Pelodiscus sinensis: one gene and its partners. The protein of the gene in region 3 interacts with the protein of the main gene of each other region in a pairwise test. Links are inferred from orthologs where the notes say so. Each region holds a gene or a part of one and is shown on either strand. Other genes may lie near its edges. The genes, in order: NECAB2, CLIP4, KIFC3 and KANSL1.

What was found.
Region 1: the proteins of KIFC3 (region 3) and NECAB2 interact in binary tests that used the Homo sapiens proteins (3 or more experiments, as listed by UniProt). The two-hybrid records come from large-scale screens. The link is inferred for Pelodiscus sinensis from reciprocal best matches to the Homo sapiens genes KIFC3 and NECAB2.
Region 2: the proteins of KIFC3 (region 3) and CLIP4 interact in binary tests that used the Homo sapiens proteins (3 or more experiments, as listed by UniProt). The two-hybrid records come from large-scale screens. The link is inferred for Pelodiscus sinensis from reciprocal best matches to the Homo sapiens genes KIFC3 and CLIP4.
Region 4: the proteins of KIFC3 (region 3) and KANSL1 interact in binary tests that used the Homo sapiens proteins (3 or more experiments, as listed by UniProt). The two-hybrid records come from large-scale screens. The link is inferred for Pelodiscus sinensis from reciprocal best matches to the Homo sapiens genes KIFC3 and KANSL1.

Annotation. Positions count from the first base shown.
Region 1 is NC_134722.1:38,261,284-38,268,737, forward strand, and holds the start of NECAB2 (N-terminal EF-hand calcium-binding protein 2), read right to left. Parts: upstream 3,004-7,454; 5' UTR 2,968-3,003; coding exon 2,743-2,967; intron 1-2,742. UniProt on the Homo sapiens protein: May act as a signaling scaffold protein that senses intracellular calcium.
Region 2 is NC_134713.1:160,484,539-160,492,115, forward strand, and holds the start of CLIP4 (CAP-Gly domain-containing linker protein 4), read right to left. Parts: upstream 3,269-7,577; 5' UTR 3,150-3,268; intron 1-3,149.
Region 3 is NC_134722.1:45,848,998-45,856,324, reverse strand, and holds the start of KIFC3 (kinesin-like protein KIFC3), read left to right. Parts: upstream 1-4,325; 5' UTR 4,326-4,460; intron 4,461-7,327. UniProt on the Homo sapiens protein: Minus-end microtubule-dependent motor protein. Involved in apically targeted transport. Required for zonula adherens maintenance.
Region 4 is NC_134739.1:6,916,098-6,923,405, reverse strand, and holds the start of KANSL1 (KAT8 regulatory NSL complex subunit 1), read right to left. Parts: upstream 3,084-7,308; 5' UTR 2,759-3,083; intron 1,881-2,758; 5' UTR 1,738-1,880; intron 1-1,737. UniProt on the Homo sapiens protein: Non-catalytic component of the NSL histone acetyltransferase complex, a multiprotein complex that mediates histone H4 acetylation at 'Lys-5'- and 'Lys-8' (H4K5ac and H4K8ac) at transcription start sites and promotes transcription initiation.

The DNA of each region.
Region 1 (7,454 bases), about 7.6 Mb from region 3:
CTAGTATAGAAGAGATATTGTTGGTTTGGACTCAGGGATATTAACAGACTCTAGCTACTAGCTATTTTTTTATGATCACTACAGGTTTATGGTTATATTTTTTTAAAGATGGAAGACTGCAAAACTGATGTGTATGTTTTATTTATTACATGCCACCATATCAGAAACTATAATATAACAGTTTTCATTATATTTTCTTCAGGAGTTGCCTGTACTGCCCCCCCCCCCCCCAACTCTGTTCTCTTTTAATTCCATTTAAATGCAAATAATTTACTAAAACAGCTAACAGAAAATATTAAAAAGTATTAAATACACATTCCATAACAATACTGACATAAATGTCACAAACTACTTGCATGTGCTAAAAACAACTGTGTGAAAGTCATAATATACCTGTCCTTAATTTTTCGTTTCACTATTCTTCAGAGAGTTCTATATTTTTGGTGAAAATGCTATTAAGAAAAGTTTCAAAGTTTACTTGTAGAGGTGCAAGTTATTTAACTGGTATGAAATAGGACTATGGATAAACATGAGATGTAAAGATTGTTAAATTACCTAAGTTCTTATACTAGGATTCTATGATTAAAAATTGAGATTATTATAGTCATAAGAACAGCAGAGAAGAAAATTTGAGAAAACCTAATTATATTTAACAAGCATCATGACGCACATAATGAGAACATGTCCTAACCTCTCAAGAAAAGAACACTGCAAAAGGTAATCTGTGTAATCACCTTTATTTTTCAAAGGAATCTAGAATTCATGCCTGATACAGAATGGCTATGTTTCCCCCAAGTTATTCATTTAATTACTAAATTAAATTTAATTCCTGTCTGAAATTTACTTGCCTGAGCCTTGGGAGATTAATAGTTATTTTATTCTGTAACAAATTCCCTTTTTAAAAAACTTCTGCTTAATGTAAGAATATGCTAATTTTTTGCTTAGTTGAGAGAAGAAATCTACCCCAAAGGTTGGAATGAACTCATTTACTATGTATCCCTTACTGTCAAGGATTTTATTACAATTAATATCTCCTATACTTTTCTTTCATATTTAAGTATCTCAAATACGGCAAGTCTACACAGCAGGGTAAAAGCCAAATTCAATTATGCAACTTGAGCTATATCAATTGTGTAACTAAAGTAGAAATATTTTAATTGGACTTTTGGTTCTGTCTACCCAGCAGGAAGTAAAAGAAAGAACACTCTTCCTTTGACTTCCCTTACTCCCCATAAAATGAGTGTTACAGGAGTTGGAGTAAGAAATCCTTCGACTTGCCATTATTTCAAAATATGGCTTGCAGTGTAGACACACTCATTGTTATTTCAGAATAACATCAGTGATTCCTAAATAATGCTGCTGTGCAGACATAGCCACACAGATTTCATGTAGATTGAAATATCTAATGCTTAATGTACCTTTAAATGCCAAATCATCAAACTCATGTGAGGCTTAACATTCAAAAACATCCACTATTTAGCAGTGGCTCCCAGCCTCTCCAAACTACTGAATCCCTTTCAGGACTCTGATTTGTCTTGTGTACCCCCAAGTTTCACCTCACTTAAAAACGACTTATAAAATCAGAGAAACGTACAAAAAGTGTCACTGCACCATCAAGCAACTTTTCTGTATTTATCATTTATGCCATAAAATAATCATTTGCACCATAAAATAAATCAATTGGAATATAAGCATTGTCCTTACATTTCACTGTATAGGAGATAAAGCAGTATAAATCAGTCATTGTATGAAATTTTAGTTTCTACTGATCTTACTAGTGCTTTTTGGAGCCTATTGTAAAACTAGGTTAGTATCTAAATGAAGCCCTCTGTGTATCCCCAGAGATATATGCACCTCAACTGAAAACTATAATTTCACTGTAGGAAATGTACCAGAAAAAACGCCATGTATTGTGCTTTTTTTAAATTTTCAATAAGAATATATTGGATGTGATAGTCCATTTCCCAAAACTGAAGTGCAATTCCATCACACCGATAAACAAGCAATTTAATCCATGCTTGGGAACCCTGGAACTATTCTTCGGTTTCAGTGTTGTAAAAGTGCCAGAACCTGCCCAGAAAAGAGCACAAACAAGCCTCATGGATCTAATCTCAAACTGCAGAGCAGGTGTTTGCCTTAACATATTGGTCTGAATGGAGGGGCCACCTCGATTTCACTCTTTCTGGCTCCCATCTCTCCCTGCAGCTTTGAGCCACACACCAGATTCTTTGCAGGTCGGCAGGCACGCTGGGAGGAAAAGCCGGGACTGTCCCGGCGACAGAAGGGGGAGGGAGACACTGACACGGCAGAAAGGCGCTCGAGGCGGCTCCCCCGCAAGCCGAGGCTGGCTCGGGCACTGAACGCCCCTAGTGAGCCCGGGCCGGGGGCACTGTCCCGGGCTGCTCGGTGGCGACTCCTGGCAGCCACAGGCGCGGGAGAGATGGAGATCTCAGGGCTGCCCCACTGACCCGGCCGCCTTGCCCCGGGCTCAGCAGCTCCCGCTCAGCCCGCAGGGCCGGGGCCGCTCGCCTCCCAGCTGCACCCAGCCTGGCAAGATTTGCGGCCCCAGCAAGACCCACCCCGCCCGGGTCCCCACCTGCTCCCTGCCCGGCCTCGCTGCTGCAGAGCCGGAAGCGGGGCCGTGCGAAGGGGGCCCGGGGGCAGCTCGCAGCGCCCCCACTTTGCGGCTCTTCGCACCGGCCCGGGCCCCTTCGCTGCTGCCCGTGCCCTGCGGGAACTCACATCCAGGATGACCGAGGTGCCTTTCCTCTGCTCCGGGGGGCAGAAGCCCTGCCCGGCGGCCGCCTGCCCCTCCAGCGGCAGCTCCCGCTCCGAGAGGATGCTCTTGTCGCTCATCTTGGTGACTATCCAGCGGAGCAGCCCGTCCAGCCCCCGGAGCTGCGGCTGCTGCTTGTGGAGGATCTTGTGGACGCTCTCCCTGCAGTAGCGCGCTGCCTGCTCGCACATCTTTCACACAGTCCTCATGCTGGAGCCGGGGTATCCCCTCCCACACAGGCTGCATCACCCTGACAGCCGCCCGCGGCTCGCCCGCAAACCCCTCCCTGCGCACTCCCGGGGGAGCAGCCGGGCCGGGTTCAGGGGTCCCCCGGGAGGGAGAGTGGGGGACGCTGCTTTATGCGGGGTGGTCGGCGCTGCAGCCCTCGGCCCCTTCCTCAGCACCCAGGCTCCCAGCCCTAGGCACTAGCCCCCATTCCTCTGCTACCTCTAGGGCCAGAACCCAAGAGCCTGGCCCCCAGCCCTGGACCCCATCCCCCATTCCTCTGCTACCTCTAGGGCCAGAACCCAAGAGCCCTGGCTCCCAGCCCTGGACCCCATCCCCCATTCCTCTGCCTCCTGTAGGGCCAGAACCCAAGAGCCCTGGCTCCCAGCCCTGGCTCCCAGCCCCCTCCCATTCCTCTGCAGCCTCTAGGGTGAGAAGGCAAGAGCCCTGGCCTCCAGCCCTAGGCACTAGCCTCCAGTCCTCTGCCACACTCAGGGTTAGAATCCACTCGTCCTGACAGCCCAAACTGGAATGGTTGGTGCTATGACCTGGCACACAGGATCACAATACCACACGCATTTGGGTTGCGTGGCCCTGCTGAAGGAGCTAGGAGCTCTCTCTCCCACAAGCTGTTGGAGACAATTTGCTGCATTTTAAAAATACCTCTACTTTGTCTTCATCATTACCAGACCAAAAATTTCAACTCTTTTATGCAGGGCAACTCAGAATGCAGCCTACCTCCACCTCTGGACACAAAGCCCTAACAAAACCAGCCAGCTGGGTTCACTTGGCTCTTTGTAGAGCTGCTAAGCGACCTGCCTTGCTCAACTGGACAAATATTACTAGTCCTATAATGCTGCTTGTGAAGAGAGACACGTTGTGCTGTTTACAAACACAGAACAAGAGATAAATCCTTTGCCAGACGGCCATTAACCCACTTCAGCTTCCTACCAGCACAGACTGATCACACAAAAAATATACAAACTGAAAGGACAATAATGGAGAAAATTAAGAGAAGAGATTGACCCAAGCAGCAAAGGGCAGCTCCAGACTCTCTCACTGTAAACCTCATGGAGTCATCTCTAATTAGAAGTGTACTGCTAGGGTCAGTGCACAGAGCAGATCAGGCTGTGTTTTGATGTTAATTCCAGTGAACTTTGTTTTATTTTGCTATTAGTATGTCAGTGTGCTATTTCAAAATGATTCATCATTATAGATATACATAAATCATATAAATATGCATATATGTTTTAAATATTAATGGTGTCCTCAAGGCTACCTCCTTTCGTGTTACAAGATATTTTGCTTGTAGTTGGCTGAGTTGAGACAGAACTAGGCTTTGTTCCATGATCCTCTATGACTGGGGAGTTCCAAAGCATTTTAATGCACCCACTCTTAATAGAAAAAAATCATGGTTTTGCATGCCATTGATCACCTCCCCTCTGGGCTGTGTATGCAGGGACCACTTAGGGTATGTCTACACTAACCCCCTAGTTCGATCTAGGGAGGCTAATGAGGGCAATCAAAATCCCAAACGAAGCGTGGAATTTAAATATCCCGTGCTTCATTAGCATGTTCCCAGGTGGTCGCCATTTTAGAAATCGCCTAGCCAAAGTAACTGCCCGCATCTACACGCGGCAGTGAAACAGGATTCCGAATTAAAGCCCTAAATCGAATTAGCTGGTAAACCTCATTGCAGGAGGAATACGAGCTAATTCGATTTAGGGCTTTTATTCAGAATCCCGTTTCACTGCTGCGTGTAGACGCGGGCAGTTACTTCGGGCTAGTCAATTTCTAAAATGGCGACCACCCGGGAACATGCTAATGAAGCACGGGATATTTAAATCCTGCACTCGTTTGCAATTTTGGTTGCCCTCATTAGCCTCCCTAGATCGAACTAGGAGGCTAGCGTAGACATACCCTTAGAGCAAACATTTGCGGCAGCTATTGCAATTGCATTTACATGGAAGAAATTTTTCACAGCATTAATGCAACTTTGTACCTGGAAGGAAAGAAGCCACCCAACAGCATATAACCAGCCACTTTTCCATAAATCACCAAAGAAGTACTATACAGAACATTGGTAGTAATTCCAGAATCTCTGCCCTAGGGTACTGGCTCCGGAGTACTAGGCTAATATGAACACTCCAAGCTTCCTTTGAGGATTCTTGGCTAGCCAGCCTCCTTTTATTTGGTGGTCCTCAGTGTTGCCCTGGCCCTTATACTAAGAGCAGGCTGCCATGGACATAGATTGAAGCTGTCCGGGCTCCTTCATGAAAATTTCATTGCTAAGGTTCTGTGCTGATCTCTGCACCTCCGCCCACTTTGAGAGTCACTGTATGTTATAATCCAAGATACTCCTGCACAAAAGGCCTGATCCAACCTGCACATTAATTGCTCTTCCTTTCTCTCTCTTATCATTTAGTATTTTTATAATGGGAGCCCATGCATTGGACTGTGTTGTTTGTCTACACTAGGGACTGTTACACTAAAGCAGCCACTCCAGAGCAAATCCCCTGTGTAGACATACAGAAGTCTACTTCTTGCTTCATCTTTTCTTTGATCAAGTGAACCAGGAAGAAACTTTTTTATTGTTTCATTTCAAAAGCGTAGGTGTTCAGCTGCTGCTTGAAGACAAGAGACGAGGAGCTCAGTTCTCTCTGCTGGAATAAGCATATAATAGCAGTGGGCTCCGGAAATGTGTTATAAATAGAGCACACATAAAGACTGGCAGTGGGATACTACTTTCATCCTCAGTACCCCCTCAGTTAGGCAGTACTTTGGCTGCAGAATTTATTTTTTGCCCAGCAACTCAAAATTAATGACAAAAAATCTGGTTTATTGAAACTGCCTGCAATATGCTAACTGGGCTGTGCTCATTTACAGTGAAATTCATTCCTCTGATGGGGCTAGCATGATACCTATGCACCACTTACGTTCCACATAACCATAAGCCTTACAGCAAAGAAACCATAAGAGAAGACATAAGGTTCATATCTTATCCTTTCTTTGAGCAAGGTGTAAAAGGGACTTCAGTGATATCCGGTCCATCTCCTGGATTTTCCCAAAGCAGTAGCTATCTCCCTTAGAAAATAGCTGTGGGATGGAATTTGACTGGCCATGTTGCCCATTCTGGTTGGAATTTTGAGTGGATTAAAGAATTTGGAGCTGGAAAAGATCAGTTTGGTCAAGCCAGTCTTCCTTATTAGTGGGCAATTGTTCCACAGTGTACTTTTTCTAAATCAGTAGTTTTAAAGTATGTCAAGAGAGGCAACACTTCTCTTGAGAGATTATTCCATAGCTCAGCAGATTGTGCAGTAGTGATAAATACCATAAACTTCTCTATATACCTAATTATACCCCCGTTCACTAAATTATGCCACTTTCTCAATGGTATTTACTTGCTCCAAATATTCATATGTTTATCTTTGCCCTTTAGCCATTCCTTAAAAATGCCATCTTTGCTAAATGCATATGTGAGTAATTCAGTTAGTTATCCTATTTTCCATTTTCAGCTCATGATGATCTCGCATTTATTTGTTATTAAGAATTGTTCGCTGAATACATTTACAAATAATGTCTTTCCAGTGCCTTTTCCTAGCAGTTTGTTATGAGAATTCATTCACACTGGAAACTTTGGGTTCTGTATACAACATGTGGCAAAATAACACTGCCTTCCAGCATAACATGCTAGAAAAAATGTTTTGGTAATATGAAGTGACACTAGAAAAACATTGGCAATTTCCATGGGGCAGCTAAATTTAGGTGGTGGACAATGTATTTTTCACATACAATGCTCATGGGAGCATTGAATTTAGGAGGGAAATATGTAACTGGTGGCTAAATGGCAAAATGCAGATAATTCAGAGTGAAATTAGACACAAGACAGCTACATTTCCCAATGGGCCATGAGAGAGTTAATCAAATAGCTCCCATAAAAGTCAGCATTGGTATGTGGCTACATATGCATTCTCTTTGAAACCTTAGGCAGTGATTTCTTCGTACTGTTGTCAGAAGAATATAAAATGGCAAATGAACTCTAACTCAAACTGCCCTAATGCCTAGCTATTAACGGTACATTTCGCTTGTTTTACCATACCTGGCACTTTAACAAGGAAGCAGTTTGTTTTCTCTTGAGATACCAATATGCAGAGAGATTTTTCCATTTTTTCACCAGAGCAGAGAGTGATATTATTGACAGCTCCCAGTTGCTTTGAAAGCTTAATGGATACAGAGTACCACTTAATTGGAAATATAGTAGAATAAAAAGCAGGGTAACATTTTTCAACAGACCAGCATCCTGTAGCCAGCATGAATTTCATTGAAATTTGCAAATGTTAATTACAGGCCTAGGCAGAACCAGCAAGATACACAGAACTAATTTCAATCGGATGGACCCTGAACTTATGCCAGCCAACTCTAAATCCTCATGGAGACTTTTAATAGCTGTTCC
Region 2 (7,577 bases), on a different chromosome or scaffold from region 3:
AGAGGGAGGCACTTATCTTCACTTCTCAGCTGTGAACCTCTCCTGGAATTAGGTGACCAAAGCCAGGTTTCTCAAAAAACCTCACCCCATTCGAGTACTCATCTAAATCCTGGTCTCCCATATAAGTGTCCTGGCCACTGGACTATGGATTATTCTGAAGTGGCCTCAAGTTCTCATATTGGTATGGTATAAATAATTTAGTCCTTAGGGTACAAATGTGAACTTGTGTCTCTCACAGTACAAGTGAGTGTTCAGAGCTGGGACATGGACAAGGATACACACGCCTGATCCTGAAAAAACCCAACTCACCCCAGCTGTCATATGTGAAGGCCTCAATCCTGTAGGCATGCACTGAGAACACTGATCCCCACAGGCAAGAGAGATGGGGAAACATCTGCTTGAGAATCCTGTTTTGGGATGCTAAGTTTCAGTGAGGCCCTGAGCAGCTATTCAGCTGTGGGCAGATTCTGTGCTTAGGCAACTTTGCACACACCCACTGGTGAAAACTGTGTCCCTCTGGGGTCAAGAGGCAGCTGAGCAATGGATGTGAGAACATCAGCAGTGTCTTAACATTGGACTTAGGCTCCTAAAGAGGCAGTTGGGTCCCTAAGTACTATTGTGGATCTAGCCATAAGATCCTGCGTCTTCTCCATAGACATGGAAGTTGTCATAGTACTTTTAGGCCATGTCAAACCAAAACTCTGGGTTACAGCATCCAAACATTTTGGATCAGGATCCAAACTTCTCATCACAGACCCACTGCCATTTATGATGAATAATTACAAGAACAATGTCACAAACACAGGATTGTGACTTCAGCTGAGGAATAGGTGGCAGGAGTAGGGAACAAAGATGACAGACCTAGCAACAATTTCATACTAGAATAAAATCAGTCTCCTGCACTCCTCTTACACTTGCCTATTCTCTGTCCCTTTATACAGTCTCACCCCTGTTCGTTCAAAAACTTTCGCTTTGCCTCTGCCACCAGAAATAGCCTCCTGGTCTCCATGGTATTGACAAACTTCATTTCAAAGTATCTTTTCCCACCACTCAGACTCTCTCTTTGCTTACATTTAACCCTATGACTGCATTATTTAACATTGTCATGCCTTTTAGGCAGTCAGTGATATGAAAGATGCAATACGGAATATATTATTTTTTAATTTATTGCTTTGTCAAGACTGCACCAATATGCTAAAAAAGAGGCAACATTGCCTGTTGATAAGATGCTTTCTAAAAGTTTTCTATGAGGCCTGAATTGCTGTTTAATCAGTTGTATAATTAACAGCTTTGGACATTGCAGACATTGTCATCAGTTCTATCATTTTTCTCGATTATTACTATTGGACCTCAAGCCCCAGTTGAAGCCAAGGCCAGTTAATACGGACCATGGCCTTCCCCAAAGCACTCATTACAATGCTGTGAACCAGATGTTCCTGCCTTTCCTCCAGCAGCACATAGATCCTACAGATAACAGGGCTGAGACTTACTATACAGCCCGCAACTTAAAATCTGTACCAGCTAGACAGCTTTTAAATGTTAGGCAAAGAAGTTAATCTTATTGGACAGTTTCCACTTTGCAGCCCCACCTTCCTCTCAAGCATAGTATCACGTTTAACACCTCATATATTCTCTACTGTGAATCAAACCCTGTAATGGCAGAGGACTGGATACACTGACCAAATAGGTTTCCCATCTCTACTACCTCGGAGCCTGTTGAGAGTTTCTTTCTTTTGGTGTATGCCTGCAAATATAGTCAGTATAAGGATGGGGATTCTGGGCAAGAGGTGAATACTTCTCTCCTAGCTCTTTTGACTATAAACTTTTAACAGTATTTTGGCTCTAACATGGCTCTTTTCATCATCTGAAAATGTCAAAGAACATTATATCACATTGGACCTCACAAAAACTTTGGGATGCAAGTATGCATTTTCCCCACTGTACAGAGGAGGATACACAAAGCATAGAAAAGTTATGTGATACCCTTGTCCATGCTATTATTAGTTCCCACAATAGAAGAACTAGAAGACACCAAATTAAGTTAATGGGTAGCAGGTTTAAAACTAATAAAAGAAAGTTCTTCTTCACACAGCGTGTAGTCAACCTGTGGAACTCCTTGCCAGAGGAGGCTGTGAAGGCTAGGACTATAACAGAGTTTAAAGAGAAGCTAGATAATTTCATGGAGGTTAGGTCCATAAAAGGCTATAAGCCAGAGGATAGAAATGGTGTCCCTGGCCTCTGTTTGTCAGAGGCTGGATAAGGATGGCAGAAGACAAATCGCTTGATCATTGTCTTCGGTCCACCCTCTCTGGGGCACCTGGTGCTGGCCACTGTTGGCAGACAGGCTACTGGGCTAGATGGACCTTTGGTCTGACCCAGTATGGCCGTTCTTATGCTCAATGAGATAGCCAAGTTCATTCATCTGAGGAAGTGGGCTGTGCCCACAAAAGCTCATGATACCATCTACATGTTTTGTTAGTCTCTAAAATGCTGCAAGACTAGGTATTGTTTTTTAAGTTTTTTCATGCTCACTGAGTCAGTGCATAAGCTGCAAATAAAACTGATGAGTCCTAACACTCAGTTCTCTACTCTGATCATTAGACACTCTGCTAGACAACAGTCCATGTAGCAAATTGCCACCTGCTATACAGGATCTAATAGAGGAAAACTAAAATAATCCAGAAAAGAATATGGCAAATCAAAAAGGAATAATACAATCTTGCTGAAAAAAACATGAGTATTTATCTTGCAAATTTCTCTCTCTGAGATGTGGTAAATAATCTGCTTCTAGAACACTGTCTCCTGCATTAATGGAATCTGACCATTCATTGTCAAGGTGTCTTCTGTGGTACTGAGACTTAGATACATTTTTTGTACCATAAATAAAAATACCAGACATTTTTGGCTGGTCTGAACAGCTGTGCTGCCATGTAAACACTCATTAAAAGCATGGCTTTGTGTCCACAGGGAAGGGAACAATGCAATGCACATGGTACTAAAATCATCTCTAGGATGACCCGATATTTTTAAGTAAATTCCAGTATTGAGGATGGTGATTATAATATTAAAGATGTCTTGGTATATGTCCTAACCTAAAGTCTTAATCAAAATAGGTTTTCAGTACTCATCCTCATTGCTTGGTCTCTTACCTGGCAGCAGTCTCACTTCACAGAAACCATTCTGCAAATGCGAGTAATCTGCAGGCTGCCACCTCAGCAAACAGTCTCTGTACAAGGAGCTCACAGCACCTCTCACTCCTGGGGAAGGATGGAAAGTCTGTGCTGTACACTAGAGTATTGGCAAGAGAGAGTGGAAAAGTTGAAACTGCATCTGCCTGAACTGCACTGGCTCTGTTGACAAATAGAGGATTTCAGTTTCTAACCCTGCCACGGTCTCTCAACCTTCACAAGGTCAAAGGAGTTGGACTGGGCTTTGACATACAAGATAGGAAATCTCAGGCAAGGTGGAAGCCAGGAAGCACATCTAGGCAGTTGCTGTAACTCCCAATCCTCTTGATTGAGTAGTCATGTCCCCCCACACAGTGTCCCTCCTGTATGCAGTGAAACCCATCATAAGTGACTGCTCAAAGGGATCAGCAAAAATAAGTTAGGTTCCCTACAAAAGGCAAATCTTTAACTAATGTTAGATAAAGTGATGGAAACCTTCAGGATCCTTTTGCTAATTTAGCTCAACTGCTCATTTTTGTTTTTCTCTGAGGCATTGCATAAAGGCCTCAAGGGGCTTTCTTCTACTTGAGATTTTTTTAAGGGTAAGTCTGGCCTACCACTGTTTTGCCTGAAAGACTTGCAGGGCAGTTGTGAGGATAAATTCATGGTGTGGTGATGTTGACCATATCAGTACTTGTGTGGATTGTGATGAGGTGATTCCATTCTTCCCTGTCACCTATGAACTATCCCTGCTTGGGTTGTGTACAGCCATCAGGATTAGGCCCATAAGACCCAGGACATTCAACAGCATACAAGAGACCCATTGGAAAAAACCACCAATTTATAAAGATCACATATACATTTCTGCCTGTTGAGATATTATTGTTCACACTGAATTATGGACTGTTTTTTCCAAGTTATAGGGACAACACTAGTTACAAATTAAACTGCTGGTTTAAAAGGCCCAGCACAAACTAATATGAAACCAAATGCAATTTTTAAAAATAAGGATCTAGACGAGAGGCCTCCAAACTGTCAAACACACACCCCTAGCAGGGCATGGAGGAACAATCTGGGGAGTGAAGGCACAGTGGGCCCAGGCCAGCCCCTACAGCGGAGTGTGGAGGCAGCACCACCTGCTTTGCAACACCACCCACTCCCAGCCATAAACCAGGCTCCCGGACTGGCCCCATCCCAGCCTGAGTGCGGTTCCACACCCAGCCATGTGCCTGGCTGCTGGCCCCCAGCATGGTCTAGGGTTGCCAGGTGTCCGGTATTCACCAGGACAGTCCGGTATTTGCGGGCTCCGTCCGGTTAAAAAATAAAAAACCAGAAAATACCAGACACGTGAAATGTTTGGTATTTCCTGATTCCCTCAGACGGAAGCCCAGCGGGGACAATTTTCCCCTGCTGCATCTGGCAGGGGCAGGGGAGTGAGGAGCGCAGCAGAGTCGTAGCGAAGGGGGGCAGGAGAGGGCACTTGCCGGGCACCGCGCTAGGGGGAGCGCCGGGCTGGGGTGGGAGCAGAGTGCACGCTGCTCTGGCCCACGTGACCAGCAGAGACCCGAGAGCTGGCCACGTGATGCCTCCATCTATACACTGTGAGCCAAGGCAGCCAGGCTAAGCAGCAGGAGCAGCGACTTTAAAAGTCAGATTAACTTACCCAGCCGTCCCGTTCCTCCGGTGCCTGGCTCTGCATGGGGGAGAGGGGGAATTGATTGGGGCGGGGAGCTCCTGGCGCTGGGGTTTCCTGGCTCAGGGGGAGGGGTGGGTGCACTAGGGGTTAGTTTGTGGCCCCAAACTGGAGAGAGTGGTGCAACTTTTGCTTAACAACTTCGGCCTCCCCCCCCCTTTTTTTTGCTTAACTTTGGTCTCCCTCCCCCCCCCTTTTTTTTCCTCGTCAGAATTTTTTCCCAGCATGTTTTTTTTGGGGGGAGGGGGGGGGTTCAATATTTTTTGTTAAACCATCTGGCAACCTTTTCATGGTCTGACTGCAGCTCCACTACCACCCTCATTCTCAGCCCTAGGCCACACCTCTGTTCCCAGGCCAGGGCCTTAGGCTGGGGACAGGAACTGGAGCAGAGCTGCACCCAGCCATGGGCCCAGCTGTGGCTCTGGCTCTGCCACCAACCTTGTTCCCTGGCCGCAGCTCCATTTCTGGCTTCAGTCCCACTCTAGGCCCCATATCTACCCCCAGCTGTGGCCTCTGCCTTGGTCTCCTTTGTCCTCCATTGCAGGAGCTGCAGCCCCACTCTCAGGTGTGAGGAAGGGGCATAGACAGAACTAAGGGGGACATGACAGTGAAAAGTTTGGGGATCACTGAACTAGACCAATTATTCCAAAGTCTGTCATCATTCTGTGCCAAGTACAAAAGAGATGTTTACTCCATTGTCTTGGGGTCAGGATGCCTAGCCCCTTTAGGGGCAGGGCACGAGGCCTCTAAGACCTCCCAAAGAGTGCCGCACCCCATGTGTGTATCGGTACCTTTGGCTCAGGAACAATAACTACACCCCGTCTCCCCTGAGACAGTCCGACCCAGCAGCCACAGTCAGTAAAACACCCCCTTCCTCAAGCGTAGTGAGACCCTGTGGCCAGAGTCTGTAATTGCCCCGTTTCCTCAGAGTGGTGAGACCTCACGGCCAGAGTCTGTAGCAACGCTCCCTGCTCTCAGGGCAGTGAGACCTAGTGGCTGCAGTCAGTAAGAAGCTCCCTCTTTTCAGGGCAGTAAGGCCTAGCAATCACAGTCACTGTTGCATCCCCCTTGGAGGTTAATGGGGATGGAGTAGGGGGACCCAGGCCCACCCTTTCGACTTGGTTCCAGTCTAGAGCCCTGTCAGTGACGGGGTGGCCTGCCACTAGTTCAGCGGAGAATTCACCTGAAACACACTGAGCTCTCAGGGATCTGTCTCCCCATCCTTGGCTACTTCCTACCAGACTCACCGAAGGAGCCTCCTTCGCCACTTCCCTTCAGACTGGGGGCTTCTCCAGCTATTCCCCACTGTCTGGCCTCCATGGGTCGGTCCGTCCACAGCTCTTCCTCCAGAGATCTGGCAGCACCTTCTTCCCCAGTGGTCAGCCCTGACTGAGTTGCTCCACCAGCCTTGATATTTGCCCGCCAGCTGGGGGCAGACAAGGGCTGGGCGGGGGCTCTTTCAGTCAGGGAGCCCTGGTTAATTCTTACAAGTCCAATGTGGGGTTGATATACCCCGTCACATGCATGCAGAAATCTGGTCTAATAGGAAACACTAGGTCACCTCAATATATTATCATTTAGCTCTGAACTGAACAGTCACTCAGAAAGGGGCTATACAGACATGAGTTACCCACCACCTGCAGATAACTCTTTAAATTGGGTAGTAGCTACAAGAAACAAATACCTTGACTGCTGTTCAAGATGGCTAGATATGTGTGTTGCATATAGATGATATACTCTTTTACCCTTGAAGTAATTTGAATGGTTATTATTGTGTATGAACACATCAGAGGTACTCCCAAAGTACACGATTCAAATAGAAGTAGGCTGTGACCCTGAACAGGGTCAAATTCCAGATACACCCAAAGTTATCCAAGTCAGATCCGAATATTGTTTGGGTACCTCTCTAATACACTTTTTAAATATCTATACTAGCGTTTCTTAAACTGTGTTCAGTGCCATGGAGAGAAAAGAAAAAATTCTGCTCCCCCACCCCAGAGGAGAGGAGCTGTTCCCACACCATAGCATTTTAAAACTGCTGCCTGCAGGGAACCCAGCTCAGGCTCTGCTCCCCCCCCCCCACCTGGGGCACGCTTGGGCTCTGCTGCCCCCCCCCCCCCGGGGCAGTCTTGGGCTCTGTTGCCCCTCATGTGCTGCTCCTCTATCTCCCCTGCGCCTTCCCTCCCCAGCCTGCTGGGAAAATGGCAAAGTTTAATCTGGCGGGGATGGTCAGGGTTTCTCCTCTCTCCCCTTCCCCTCCCCACCCCCCGCCAGCAGGAAGCCTGGCCTGGTGCTGCTGCTGCAGCTGCGCTGGGTTCCCCGCTGCATGGGCGGTGTGGAACTGAGCTCTCTCCACACACACACCCCTCCCAGGAACAAGAGCATGCTCCCTGCAGGCTTTCCCTGCTGCAGCAGGGTACCAAGCCAGGTAAGCGTCCCCCCTCATGCCCAGACCCCACACCCAAACCCCCCTCATTCCCCTCTCCATGACAAGACCCCACATTCCCAGCTTGCTCTGACACCCTTCCCCAAGTCCCCTCTTGCACCCTCCCTCCTGGCCAGACACCCTGCCCCAATACCCGCTCCTGGCCAGATATTCTGCCAAGACCCCTCCTCAACCCTTCCTCCTGGCCAAGCACCCTGCTCCAAGTCTCCTCCTGCACCCTCCCTTCTGGCCAGACACGTGACCTTATTTAGCATTTGTTTATTATTACCCT
Region 3 (7,327 bases):
CTGCAAAAGCTTTTGCGGAAAAACTTGCCAGCTGTCTACACTGGCCGCTTGAATTTCCGCAAGAACGCTGACGATCACATGTAAGATTGTCAGTGTTCTTGCGGAAATACTATGCTGCTCCCGTTTGGGCAAAAGCATTTGCGCAAGAGGGCCAGTGTAGACAACACGGTATTGTTTTGCGCAAAAGAGCCCTGATCACGAAAATGGCGATCGGGGCTTTCTTGCGCAAAACTGCGTCTAGATTGGCACGGACGCTTTTCCGCAAAAAGTGCTTTTGCGGAAAAGCGTCCGTGCCAATCTAGATGCTCTTTTCCGCAAATGCTTTTAATGGAAAAACATTTCCGTTAAAAGCATTTGCGGAAAATCATGCCAGTCTAGACGTAGCCTATGTGTGTAGCTTGCACCAAGAGGCCCACAGGAAAGCGATCACGTCTCAATAACAAATACAACGCCAGCCCTGCAACACTTCACCCGGCATGCATTCCCACCCTCTTGCTCAGCGAGGAATAGCTGCTATAAAGTACCTATCCCTATGGGTCTAGATCCTGGGGAGGCTGCATGGGGGGAGACTTTACTCTCTCATATGCCCCTGCACAGCCATATAGTATAAATTGAGCCTTACCATTTCCCTGGTATCACAGCAGTTAATTTTTAACCAATGGCACAAAAACTATGTAAAACAAAATAACCTATTTGCAGTTTTTAGAGAACAGACCTTTTAAAAATAATCCTACAGGTTTCTACTTTATACCTATTGTTTTGAGTAATTTAAATTACCTGGTATTGAAAAGCGTGGTGAGATGTAGAGACATACACTTTCTGTTGCAGCAGTACATGATATCTGCTATTACAGTGTTTTGGTCTCATTAACAGGTTACACTTGGGAACTTTAGACATAAAAGCTGAAGAATGATGCTGTACTATAATAGCTTGTTTACACTGCTGATTAACAGTAACAGGCAACCAGTAATAATTACTCGATGCTTGTAAACTTTTCTCAGGAGACACTAAATTGTTACAGCTGGTAGAAAATGTTCTCAGCAACATTTCCTAGTAGTTGTTGACTATCTTGACCCCTAATGGCAGCTGTAGGTATTAATGCCAATGCAGCAAAAGTAGTGTTACCTCATAGTTCTGCAAGCAGACCAATATCTAGTGACCAATATTTAGCAACCAAAGCAATTCAACAGCAATGCTATTTAATTTTGTTGGGAAATACCCTAGTTCTGATTGCCCATTTGCATACTATAATTATTATTTGCCTGCTGTGTTTTGCGTATATGACTTTGAATTTGTACTTGTAAAGTGTGATGTAAATAAACACCCATCACAGTTTTATATATTATCTTCTGTCACATTTTTCTTTGCATGGATATACCTGTTTCATTAACATAGGCAATATTGGCCTCTCTCTTAAATGCAACGAAGAAGATTTATGTGTAAATCCTAATATAATGCTGTGTTCATTCTGCTCAGGTGCATCTACATTGCACCCATCGCTCGAAATAAGCTATGCGATTTGAGCAACGCAAATTACGTAGCTTATTTCAAGTGAATTTCAAAATAGCTTATTTTGTAATTTCAAAATAACCTGCTATTCCGAAACACCCCTTACTCCTTGTGGAATTAGGGTTGCTAGGTGTCCAGTTTTTGCCCTGTCTGGTATTTCCTGTTTCCCTCTGACAGAAGCCCAGCCGGGACAATTTTCTCCTGCTGCATCTGGTGGGGATGGGGGAGTGAGGAGTGCAGGGTCATTTAAAGGTGCAGCACCCCTTTTTTTTCTCAACAGAATTTTTTCCCGGTGGTTTTGTGTGTGTGTGTGTGTGTGTGTGTGTTTGTGTGTGTCTGGGGGGGTGTTCGGTATTTTTGGTTAAACCTTCTGGCAACCCTATGTGGAATGAGGTTTACAGGGACGTCCAAATAGTGACCCCCTTATATTTTGAAATAATGGGTGTGCTGCTAAGACATGGGACAGCTATTTTGGGATACCTTCAGTATCCCAAAATAGCGCCACAGTGTAGATGTAGCTTTCTTGGTTACATATAAAATAAACCTCACACGTTTTCTTGCTTACAATTCATAATAGTTACCAAATTCCATGTCCCCACATCTGGAGATGATCTGGGCCCTACAAGAAAGAACTCAATGTGTTTCATTATACAGGCTGGATTTTTTTTAACCCTAATAGACTGTCTTGATGAACAGCATAAATCAGATTCTAAAACCTCATAGCAGAAAGAGCTTTGTGCCACCTAGGCCTTCCCGAAAAAACTTCCCCTGCGTCCAGACTCAAGCCGCGTTCTTTCGAAATTATTTTGAAAGAACGCGGCTTTTCTTTCGATGGCGGTAAACCTCGTTTCACGAGGAAGAACGCCTTCCTTCGAAAGTTCCTCTTTCGAAGGAAGGCGTTCTTCAATGTAAAGAGGCCGTCTTCGAAAGAGAGCATCCAGACTCGCTGGGTGCTCTCTTTCGAAAAAGCGGATTTCCTTTATCGAAAGATCCGCCTGCAGTCTAGACGCGATCTTTCGAAAGATGCTCTTTCGAAAGATGCTTTCGAAAGAGCATCTTTCGAAAGAAGCCTGCAGTCTAGACATAGCCCTAGTTACTATGTACTTTACACTGATGTGCATTTCTCAAAACGATCACTTAATTTCTGGCAGTAACATTTCCTGAATTGAACTGTGAGTGTTTTATGAGACTGAATTAATTTTCCAGCCATGACTCAACATCTGTGCAATGTAATTTACTGACTCTATTTTTCATTGCATGAAGTCTAGTGATTCAGACTCATGATACTTAGCATCAGGCGTTGGACTGCCCTCTCATTAGATGTACATAGCAAAACAAACCGGATGCAATCTAACATAGATACCTAGGATGACTGGAATAGTAGCTTTTTGTCTTCTACCACAGCTGTCTTCAGGAAAGTCTGTTTCAGCAGAGAAAGAATAGAAAGGTGCAGGAAAAATAGTACTGCATTTGAACAGATTAGTGACAAGCAGAATCTTTAGATCTGTCCTATAGATTGGCTGTATCTTTTTAATGTACTACTGGAAATGTGCTCTGGGGAGTCTCTGATTAATTCTTACTCCTACCATTTTCACTTCCAAAATAAAACAAAAAATCCATTAATTAGCTAATTTAATAATACTTCAAGATATATTGCACAATCTGTAGCTAAGGCACTTGACACACCTGATTCACTGTTGGTTCTGGGAAAGCATTGTCAGGCACAGAAAACTGCTGCTGTTCATCTATGAAGGTGCTTTCTAGCACATCACTAAAAGACTTAAGGATAATTGTTTGAGGCTAGAGAGGAGACTGCATGAATTGCTATTTAGAAAAGTGTGGTCTCAAGCTGGTATTTGTGAAAATGTCTTGAAGTGAATTAATCTGGCCCTGGTCTACACTTGGGCATTATTTTGAAATAACCCCTTTAGGTCAAATTTACAGGAGGCCCCACGAGATGCGACCGCCCGAGTTCCGACCCCCCACATTTACAACCATTTTTGTAAGTGTGGAAGGGGCCGGAAACCACCGACTTACGTCCTTAGCCTGCATTTACGACGGCGCACGGTGCCTGCTGTAAATGCAGGTTCGAGTTACGACGCCCCCGACTTGCAATGCTTCCTCCGGAACGAATCGCGTCGCAAGTTGGGGGCTTCCTATATAAGCAGAGAGTCCATACTACCAAGCCTATTATTTTGAAATAATTGGCCATTTATTTTGAAATGTGCATTCCTGCTTTCCTGGGGGAATAATGCTAATTTCAAAAGAGTTATTTCAAAATAGCATTCGTGTGGACACTCTGGTGCTGCTATTTCAAAATAACTCCTCCCCAGAGGCATTCAAATGAATTACTCCCCAGTGCTTCCTGGGGCTCCGAGACGAGGTAGCATGTCCACATTAACAGAGCCTGCCTCGGACTAATTTCGAGGCTTCCTCGTAGTGGGAATGCTATTTTGATTTTTGTAAAATTGGGAGTTAAGTCAAATGTAATCATTTCGAAATAATTTCCTACTGTAGACATGCCCCTAGTAATCAAATTGCCCTCTCAGGGCTGGGTCCTTTCACATCAGAATTGGAATATATCTCTATGGTATTACGGCACAGGCTTACACTTGCCATATCTTGCTCTCCTTGTTAACCTTTTTTCTGGGAGTGCTTCATAAGCAGAAGCCCTCATTAGTTTATGCCATGAAACATTAATGACCTATTGGATGAACTGTGTATTCTTCCTCAGGGCGATATCTGATTTCGTGGTTCCTAGGCAGCCATCAGAGCTGGCATGAAGCTGGGACTATGCTGTACAGGCATGCATGTCTGACACGTTGTTTAGCAGGGATAGAGAAGAAACGGACATGGTATAGTGCACAGATCTAGAGCATTAAGACTAATCAGTGGTCATATACAAGAGATCCTGTTTCAGAGGAGTTTGAAAAATTAGACAAAATTAAAAGGTAGGTCACTTAACAGGAGCAGAGACAATCCTCTGAATGTTGCAGCTTTTGCACGAAGGCAGCTTTGTGATACGTTGCTTGTCAGTCTGTGAGGTTATGTTCAACTTCTGTATGAGAAATGTTATTTCGATACTAGTGTAATAATGACACGTTGTATAGATGAAGTGTGCTTGTGACTCTTTGAGTGGTTTAGAGCTGCCATAGTAGCTCCATGCTATCCTTGATACTGGTTGTTGGTGCAAGGCATGGTCACAGAAAAGGGGTCTGACCCAAGCATCTCTTTGTTCCAGTGACCCCCATCTGTTGGAATGCACCCTCGGGACCCTAAGTAGCCATCATAAGCTACCAGAGTCCTAAAGTTTGCTGATTTATGCTGTGGATTAAACTGGATTTTGATCCATTGGCCACCTGAATATGGGTATGCAAAGGTGGTCAGGTTACTTTTATAATACTCCCTTCCGAGTCCTGAGCTGTGTTGAATGCAAGTTGGCCATATCTTAGAATTTGGGCCACTGGGTTTAATCCATTCAGTTTGTGCATTTTAAAATGAGTATAAATGCCTCACAAGCAGCTTAATCTTTGTAAAGAGCTTTGATATCCTTGGATAAAAGATATTGTAGAGATACAGAATATTATTATTTTATTAATTTTATATAGGATTTGGCAAATCATATCTCAGCTGCTCCCAAAAACCTCCTCACAGTTGAAGGTTCCTATGCTGCAGTAAAACTCTAATAATGAGCTAGGCTGTAATGAAATGGTCTCTAGAGACACAGTCTCATTACAATTGATCTTTCTGGTGAGGATTTTCAACAAGGAGAGTTGAGACTTTAATTCTGCTCCTATCTGTGTTTCTGGATTAGGGGTTTTTTGTTTTTTGTGTTTTTAATATATATATAATCAGGTTGTTTGTCTGGAGAAGTGAGGGAGTTAAATTTTAGCCAGGCTTTTGTAGTTATCTGCCCAGAGGTTTTACAGTTGTAGGTTAAATATTTGCTTGGGGCAGAATGCCTGGCTAATCCAAAAGCACCAATCGCAGATGTATTTCGATTGTTGTAGATTCACTTAGTCCTATGCACTCCATTGGGCAAGTAAAATAAGAATTAACTTGCCTGACTTAACTGGCTTATTTCTCCTTATCTGAGAATTCTCTAAACATTTATGCTTAATGAAAGCGACTCCCATAGCACTGGCTCTGTCATAAAGTTTTGGTAATGCATATCAATTCTGACCCCAACATTCCAGCTAATGAAATTAAGGGATTTTTCTGAGCGGACAGTCACAACTGTGATGATTTTGTGCTATGAAAAACGATCTACTAAAAAGAACATTGAAACTTGCCAGACTTTTTTAGTGTATTCATTCAATTACACTTTAATACAATCCAAATGAACATTCATTAACCACAGCATGCCTGTCAATTACCCCTTTTCCCTCTTCTGCTCCAAATGGTCTTTCTTGTCTGACTGTTTACTGCCACGTAGGAAAATGTGAATTTGAGAGTTTCTTGACATGGAATTATCTGGGGTCACTGCAATTTTCAGCTCACTGCAGTGTATATGTACATTTCTATCACTATTCTGCAGTTTATATTGCAGTCAAGAATGCATATCTGATGGAACTGGTTCTGGTGAGTTCAGTTTGTTCCTTATGCAACACCAGTCCTTACTGTAGCCATGCTCGCTGTGGGACAGATGTTAAAATTATTTCCCACATTTTACTCAGTCATTGCTCAGGCAAGCTCTCATGACATACAGTGAAAGTTTGTCTGAGTAAAAACTAAGTAAAGATTTCAGACTATGGCTCTATATCATTATCATCAGTGTTTTTTTTGTAAAAAAAAAAAAAAAAAAGTGCCAGTACTCTTTAAGACCCAGCCAACTGTTAGCCATTTTCATTACAGAGGTGCCGGTACTCTCTGTTCTTTCCAGGTAAGCTCTGCGTACTGGGCAGTACCATCACAAAAAAAAGCACTGATTATCGTTATGTGGCTTGTGGAATATTTGTAGTGTTATTGCTGAAGTGAGTATGATTTTGTGCTCAGTAAAAACAACGAGGAGTCCTGTGGCACCTTAGGGTGTGTCTATACAGCAAAGTTATTTCGGAATAACAGGAGTTATTTCAAAATAACTATGTGAGCGTCTACACAGCAATTCCATTATTCTGAAATAATTTCTAAATAACGGACAGCTTATTCTGACTTTTGTAAACCTCATTCTACGAAGAATAACACCTATTCTGAAATAGCTGCTGCTATTTCGAAATAGCCCCTCACCAGGGCCATTCTAAGTTATTCCTCCTGGGGCTCTAAATCGATGTATCACATCTACATTAGGGAAGCCTGCCTCGGACTAATTTTGAGGCTTTTCTGCAGTGTAGACGTGCTATTTTGAAATAAGCTATTTTGGAATAACTATTCCAGAATAGCTTATTCCGAAATAACTGTGCAGTGTAGACATTGCCTTAGAGACAAACAGATTTATTAGGGCATAAGCTTTCCATTGGTAATTGGGTTTTGAAATTTTTTGTAGAAGGATGGCTACTTTCAAATCCATGACTGAATGCCCAGGACATCCTTTTACAGAAGAATTTCAAAACATGCTTACAAAGGGAGACAGCTGAACTGGAGCTCATTTGCAAATTCAATACCATTCAGGACCGAGTAAGGATCTGAACTGGTTAATGTACGACAAAGGCAATTTCCCCTCTTTTAATATTCACATCTCCATACCAAATGCAGTTAATGAGCCACTTCTACCCTGATTTGATTGGCTTCGTTAACGCCATATAAATACCCCTGCCTCTGTAGCTTCCACTCCAACTCATCTGATGAAGTGGGTTTTACCTATGAAAGTTTATGCCCTAAT
Region 4 (7,308 bases), on a different chromosome or scaffold from region 3:
GAAAAATACTTAGTATGGCAAGGGATTGTGACCCTGTCTTCTTTTAGGACTGTTGCCCTTTTTGATTTCTATTAAATGCATACAGCTTGGCCAAATCTATACAATTCTACATTGTAATAATCACTACTACTTATATAATGCTTCTCCCAAAATCAGCGTACCTACATCAGCTAATCCTCAACTCCTTGTTCAGGCATATCAATATTATCCTAATTTTAGAGATGGAAAAAACAAGGCACAGAGAGTTGAAATAACTTATCCACCACAAATAGTAACTAGAAGATTTCCTATGCCAATGCTGAGTACACTAAACCATGCTGACAGATGCATGCAAAATTATAAGCACGTGTAACAATACTAGGATCCACGTAAACAGAGCAAAGAGAATATGGCAGCCATATACAAGCATTTCAGGGGTGTACACAACAAGAAAAGATACATTATTTGGGGGTTATTCAAAAATGGAACCTTGGACCAGTAGAATGAATCTAAAAGGGAGGGGGAAGTAGAATATCAGAAAGTGTTTCTTAATGGTGAGATTAGACAGACTGAAGCTGTGAATGCTCTATTCAATGAGTCAATTAAAAGTAGGCTGGACAAAGTATTAGACAAAATACCTTGAGGATCTGTCCTGCACTAACTGGAGTGATGGGGACTGCATTAAAATATACTAGATGGGACTCAGTAAATGTGCTCCTTTTCTTCATAATTTCTAAAATGTTTCAAATGTACTCACAATATTCTGTCTTCTGTATAAAGTGTTGACCTCATCAAGCCCTATCAAGTGTTTACAAAACACACACAAAAAAAACCAATACGGTTGGTAGTAGCAGGTTATAGCTTCATACAGTCAGAGTGGCGCTGACAGGATAGAGCTACTGTGACAATTCTAATGCATTTGGAAATCTCCAGATAACCTGACAAAGAGGACCAGAAAGTCTTTCAGATTGAATTGATTTACACCCTGGAAAATAATTTCTAACAATTCTGTGAATGATTAAAATATTAAGGAAGTTACTTGGGTCCCACATTTTCAGTAGGAACTACCCAACTTCTAGTTTACAACCAGTGGCGGCCCGTCAATACAGGCGTACTAGGCAGTCGCCTAGGGCGCCAAGATAAATGGCCGTTGAGGGCTTTGGAGGCAGGGGTGCCGATTGCACGTTTCGCCTAAGGCGCCAGTTGCTGGCAGCTCGTCTAGGGCCGCTCCTGTTTACAACATACAGTGACCTCCCAAGTACACTACATCAGGAGACAGTGTCAAAAGCTGATAAAGCATTTCTGGTACCATGCTGAATGATCCTGAAATACTCACCTAAAATTATAGTTATTAGTATAAATGAATAGGTTTTTTAATATTATATTCACACTTAAAATACATATACAAATTCAAAATAAGTTTCATATATATTTAAAAAAATAAAAATTCCAGAAATTAATTGTATTTTTTCCAATTTTACACCACCAATTTTCTTCCTCAGAGAGAGCCCAAACCTAAAAAGTTCACTTTCAGTATTGAGCTGTATTCCTGGAGTTCCTTTTTTGGTTAATTATGTTTCACGAAAGTGTTAAAGAGGTCCTGGATTTTAAACCTCTCCTGAGAATAAATGGTACCATCAGAATTCTAAACAAAGACCTCAACTATCATGGTGCTTTTCATAATTCAGGCATTTTTGTATTGAACAAAAGTTTGTAAACAAGGTACCAGTTTAAAAATGAAGAACTAGAAGTTCCTACCTTGCAGGACATCTTAATAAAATCCATAGTGTCTGGAGCAATTCAGAAAAGACTCAGGATGGAGTTCTGAAGGACTTGTAATCTTTCCAAATCCAACCAAATTCCGCAAATCTTTCTGATTTCAAGAAGTGGAAATCTTTTGTCTATAACAAAAAACAACAATAAAAAAAGAATCAAGGGAAAGAAATATAACTTGCAAACAAAACATATATGATACAACTAGCCTTAAGAAAAAAAAAATCAGGATTTAGAAAGTAGACATTTTATCACCAACTTCACCCAAAAAAGCACAATATATAGCAAACACACAAAACAAACTATGTAAAGAATCACAATAACTGGAAAAATAGACACACCTCTGTAAACTCCTGGAGGACAAAATAGTTGGAAAGTGCAGACAAAAATCTGCACACTATATAGATTAAATAATTCAGTTAAAGAGATGAAAGGAATGTAAAAAAAGGATTGGGATTTAAGCACCTAACTCCCTTAGGCTCTCATGAAAATTCTCTTTTAAGAAATCACCTCCATGAGAAATTACACAATCACTTAATTTTATGCCACATTTATGAATGCCTGCCACCCACTGAAATACATTTATTTTCCAGGATCAGGTCTTTGGGGGCTGGGGAAGGGAATAATTTACAATAACAAAAAAAAGTCATAGAGTTATTTCTGCCAGGATTTTGTTTGTTTTAAATCATTCTAAAACCCACCTTGGGAGTATCAAATATGCCATTTTTTTCAATGTTTGGGTAAAATGGAGGACTGGACAAATAGAAGACATCTAAGAATATTTTCTATCCCATTTCCTAAAACTGAATAGCTAAAGTCTTTACAGGCTCTTTGCCATGTTTGCTTCTGTGACGCCTTTGCCATGTTAGTGCCAGTGCCTCTCCTCGCCTTCTTTTGCTCCTGTCCATGCCTTGGGGATCGTGCATGTCTGTGGTCATTTTGTTTCCCTTAACACAAGTAAACAAACAAAACCCAAACGCCTGAGAAGCCACAACCGATGACTCGCCTGAAAACTCCAAGCCACGGCTCAATCTCGCTGCAGCTCGGGAGTTATAAAGTGTCCTTGCGCAGGCACTGGAAGCCCTCTCCAAATTACGACGCTCACCCCGAGCCCCCTCCAGTGTATCCGCTCTGCGAGGAGACGATCCGGGTGTCTCCCAGCATGCGGCTGGCCCAGGTTAGAGCTCATTCCCGGCCCCCTCTGCGGATGCCCCCTGCCCGATGCCCCAGCAGCTCCCAGCATTTGGCCTGCTCGTTTAGCCATCACCATTGTTGCAAAATGCCACAAAATATCCCCCCCCAATGTGGTGTGTGACTGAGCAGCTGCAGATCCCCCCCCCACCCCGTCTATTTGCGTTTCACGTCTAGCTGCAAAGTTCCTGCTCTCCCCCGACCTCTCCGTCCCCCACCGCCCCCCCAAACTCACTTTCTGGCTGTGCAAGAACCATTCCTCCTTCTTCCCCCGCCCCCCGCCTTGGCCTGGTGAATTAGCTCTGAGCAATCGCTCCTCTCTGCTTGCATGGAAGAGTCACAGGGGGCTGTGCTCACTGCAGGGCAGGCGACTCCACGGCCCGATCCAATAAAGTTCTGACCCTCCCCTCACCACCCTCGCCCCCAGCCCCAGTGACTCCTCGTGCAAAGTTGCAGGACGGGGGCTCCTAGCACTACTTGGCCTGTTGTCTATGGCAGCACCATAGGGGGTGATCGGTCCCTCTGCCAGCCACACGCTCCCTCTCCCCGGCAACATGCCTTTGCAAGGCTACAGCCCCCCCGCTGCCTTGCCCCGCAGCCCCTCGGCCTGCCCTGGCCAGGTGCCCCCCCGCCCAGCCCTCCACAGCTCCCCCTTTTTCCTCCCCCGATTGCACCAGCTCCAGCCTCTGCTCCCACATCCCAGCACCTACCTGCACAGCTCAACCAGCCTTGAAGTGGGGATCTTCCTCCCTCCTCCCCTCTCATTGGCTGTGGGGAGGGCCTGGGCCGGTGTGGTTGGAGGAGGGGGTGTCTGTCAGCGTCAGGGGGCGGGGCGGGAGGGGTGATTGATGCGGGTGTCTCGGCTTGTCCCTGCCTCTGCTTGTGTTTCCCGGAGATGTTTAAGGGAAGGGGAGGGCTGCATGTGGCTGCCAGGCAGGGCCCATCCACTGGATCAGTCCCCCCCCCCCCACTCACTCACCCTCATGCTTGAATGAGATAAGGGGCAAACTACACAGCCTGGGAATGGGGAGACTGTGTGAAATGGGCAGGGGGAGTCAGGGAGAGGGATGGTGAGAAAGAGGGCATCCTGTTGCACTCAGCATCTCTGCTTCTGAGGGGCACGGGGACCACTCTGGACCACAAAAAGACCTCTGCAGCCTCCAAGCTGAGAGAGGCTTTGACACACACCCGCACATGCCATCACACCACATCTGGGCCTACAGGGGGAAGGAAAAGCTGGGGCGCGCCTGTCACGTCGCAGCACGCCGCTCTGAGCTAGGAAACTCACCAAAGAGGGAGAGGGAAAAGCAGGAGGATTCCTGCAGTGAAGGTATCCCTGAATATCATATCCCTGCTGGTTTTAGAAGAAAAACAAAAGTTGCTTTTCCTGTTGTGGGCACACAATCTATTAGCAGTTCTCCCAAAGACTGTCCCCCTGAATAGTGATAGAAATCTATGCTATCATGTGCCGAAAGTGTCCGTCTGCTATGTACATTGGACAAACATCTCAGACACTTCGCCAAAGGATTAATGCCCACAAAACAGATATCAGACAAGATCACAAAGAGAAAACAGTTTCTTGCCATTTTAACCAGAAAGGACACTCTCTCAATGACTTGACCACCTGCATTCTGCTACAAAGACCTTTTACATCTGCACTTGAAAGGGAATCCTCTGAACTGTCATTCATGTTAAAATTCGACACTTGCCAACAAGGACTTAACAAACATTTGAACTATCTCACCCATTACCAAGACAGTTTCCCCAATTATCACCTCTAATACCATTAACTCACAAACATCCCACTCTCCCTACCTCTAATATCATCAATTCACAGACACTTACCTTCCTTTCTTCCCCCCCCCCCCCCGCATCCCCCTCCTGTTCTGCAATGTGATTTGTCCTTTTCATATTTGTTCATTTTTTTAATTGTATCCTTTGGTATATATGGTTGTGACTATTTTCTTCCACTATTTGATCTGAGGAAGTGGGTCTGGCCCACGAAAGCTCATCATCTAATAAACCATCTTGTTAGTCTTTAAAGTGCTACATTGTCCTGCATTTTGCTTCATGTCCCCCTGAACAAACTACTAGCTGAGACAGGGCAATTGTTAATAGGTTAAGTGCAAAAGCCCCACAAGGATGGTCCACTAACATATCTGTCACACATTGGAGGCCCAGATATAATCTTTTTCCAATGATCACACCCCACTGCCTCGTAAACCAAGAGTAGCTGAAACCTGAGTGGTGATGTGACAGCAATGCCCATAGCACTGCCATTGCTGTAGTGTGGGCATGGAGCCAGCTTGCTTGTTTTCCAGGAAACTCTAACCACAACCACAAGGGCCTTCCTTCCTCAACCTGCCAGGATTACAGTTCCAGTGCCAGGGCACCAGGTGTAGCTGCAGGTGGTACGTGCCACCTCAGCAATTAAGTCCAGTATAGTGCACATATTTAATTAGGAAGTTACTTCTGCTCCTGGTTTTTAACATGTTAAAATCCTAATGCAGACAAGACAATTTGCAGTTTTAACTCATTAGCCTGATAGACTTTTTCCTAGGGATTGCTTTGACCTGCTTACATGTTAAAATTACAGCTTGCTACATCAACACCAGGATGCTAACAAGTATTAGAACACACATCTCTTTTTTTTCCTAGAGAAGGCAAGACCATTATTTAATTTTTCCTGTTATATTGTACATTTTTTCATTGTCAGTGGAGTAAGAGTGGTTACTGCTGCTGTGGCAATTTCAGCAAGAATCCATGTCCGGGAAACCCAGATATGAAAAGCTGGTTTCTCAGCGCATGTGAAGTGGGTCTGTTGTAAGTTCTATTCAGAGATTTTTCAGTTGAGGCATAAGTCACATACTGAGCTGATAAACTTTCAGCTTTCAAGAAGTCTTTACATTTCCAGTAGTTGTTACCTCCCCTCCCAGGATCAGAAGACAAAGAAGGCCAACCATTTTAAAGTATGAAGCCCTTCCTGAAATGTAAGACTAAAAATGCTAAATTGTTAAGTAATCGGATTTATTTTAGGCACTTCACAGTGCAATGTTGAGTTCTGTTTATGCTTAATATTCTTTGCATAGAAATGGACAAATTATTATAGCATGCATTATGGTAGAAAGAGTCTAACCCAGGGCCTGAGAGTGATTAAATAATATTACTCAGTACTCTACATTTTGTAAGCACTGTTCAACTATTAGCAGGGTTAATGAGTTAAACCTCATGACCCTGCTATGAGATAGGTATAAATATCCCCATTTGGGGAAACTGAAGCAAAGAAAGGATAAGTGATTTATCCAAGCTGAGCTGATGGTAGAACTAGATCTCAGTTCCTCGTTTTTAGCTCCATGCTCTATCCGCTTGATCACATCTAAAAGAGTCATGTTTTTAACATTTTAAATTGAGGAAAGGTGAGCTGTGCCAGAAGCACCACTGGACTGCAACACAGAAGAAGGTTTGGGCATCCACTGATCTCTTTGCAATGATGGAACCCCAAAAGTCAAGATAGTGCAGTGTGGCAATCATGTAACAAAGCAACTTTTACCTTCTAGATATCTTTAAAAAGGGTGACTAAGTTCAGCTGTATGGATTTGAATTAGATTCTGTGCAAAACCATTCTTCCTTGAGTAGAGATTATTCTTTGCCATAGTGAGTAGGAGTAGTTTTCCTGTGGAGACATGAGGACTAGGTACACTCCAGCTTGTTGAAGTAGGCCAGAACTGTTCTATGTATATCATAATAAGCATAATAAGGATGTGTTGATTTGAATCCACAGTAGACAGGATTTTTCAGACTGCTCTGAATTCTATTACACTGGTGCTGTTCTGTCCCTCTAAGGAGATCAGAATCACTGGACTATTTGAAGTATAAGGGGAAACCCTGGACCCACTTAAATCAATGGCAAAACTCCCACTAACTTCAGTGAGGTCAAGATTTCACCCATAGAGTGGACAACCCCAATCCATGGAGTTCATTCATGGAACTCTGTGATCATTTGTTTGTGTGAAAAACTAGTCATCAGCTTTCCAGGGTGGGAGTCACAGGTGTCTTCAGAGCATCACATTGCACACTATAGCTCTAGCAAATAAGTAGATTACATCAGTGTAGGCATCTTAAAAGAAGATGGCTGTTACAAAACAATTTTTTAAGAACTGCTCCAAGTGTGTTGATTTTTAATACTGTAGGAAAGAACATCTGACAAAGGTGTCCAAAGGTGGCTTTGGCAAAATCCTTGGGGCCCTTAATACAGAAGATCTAAATCTCACCCACCTATACAAGCTCCATGGAGATATAAACTAAAGGCTAGAATCCATACAATTACTCTTCTGAACCTGTGCCGAGAGGAAGAAAATATGGACG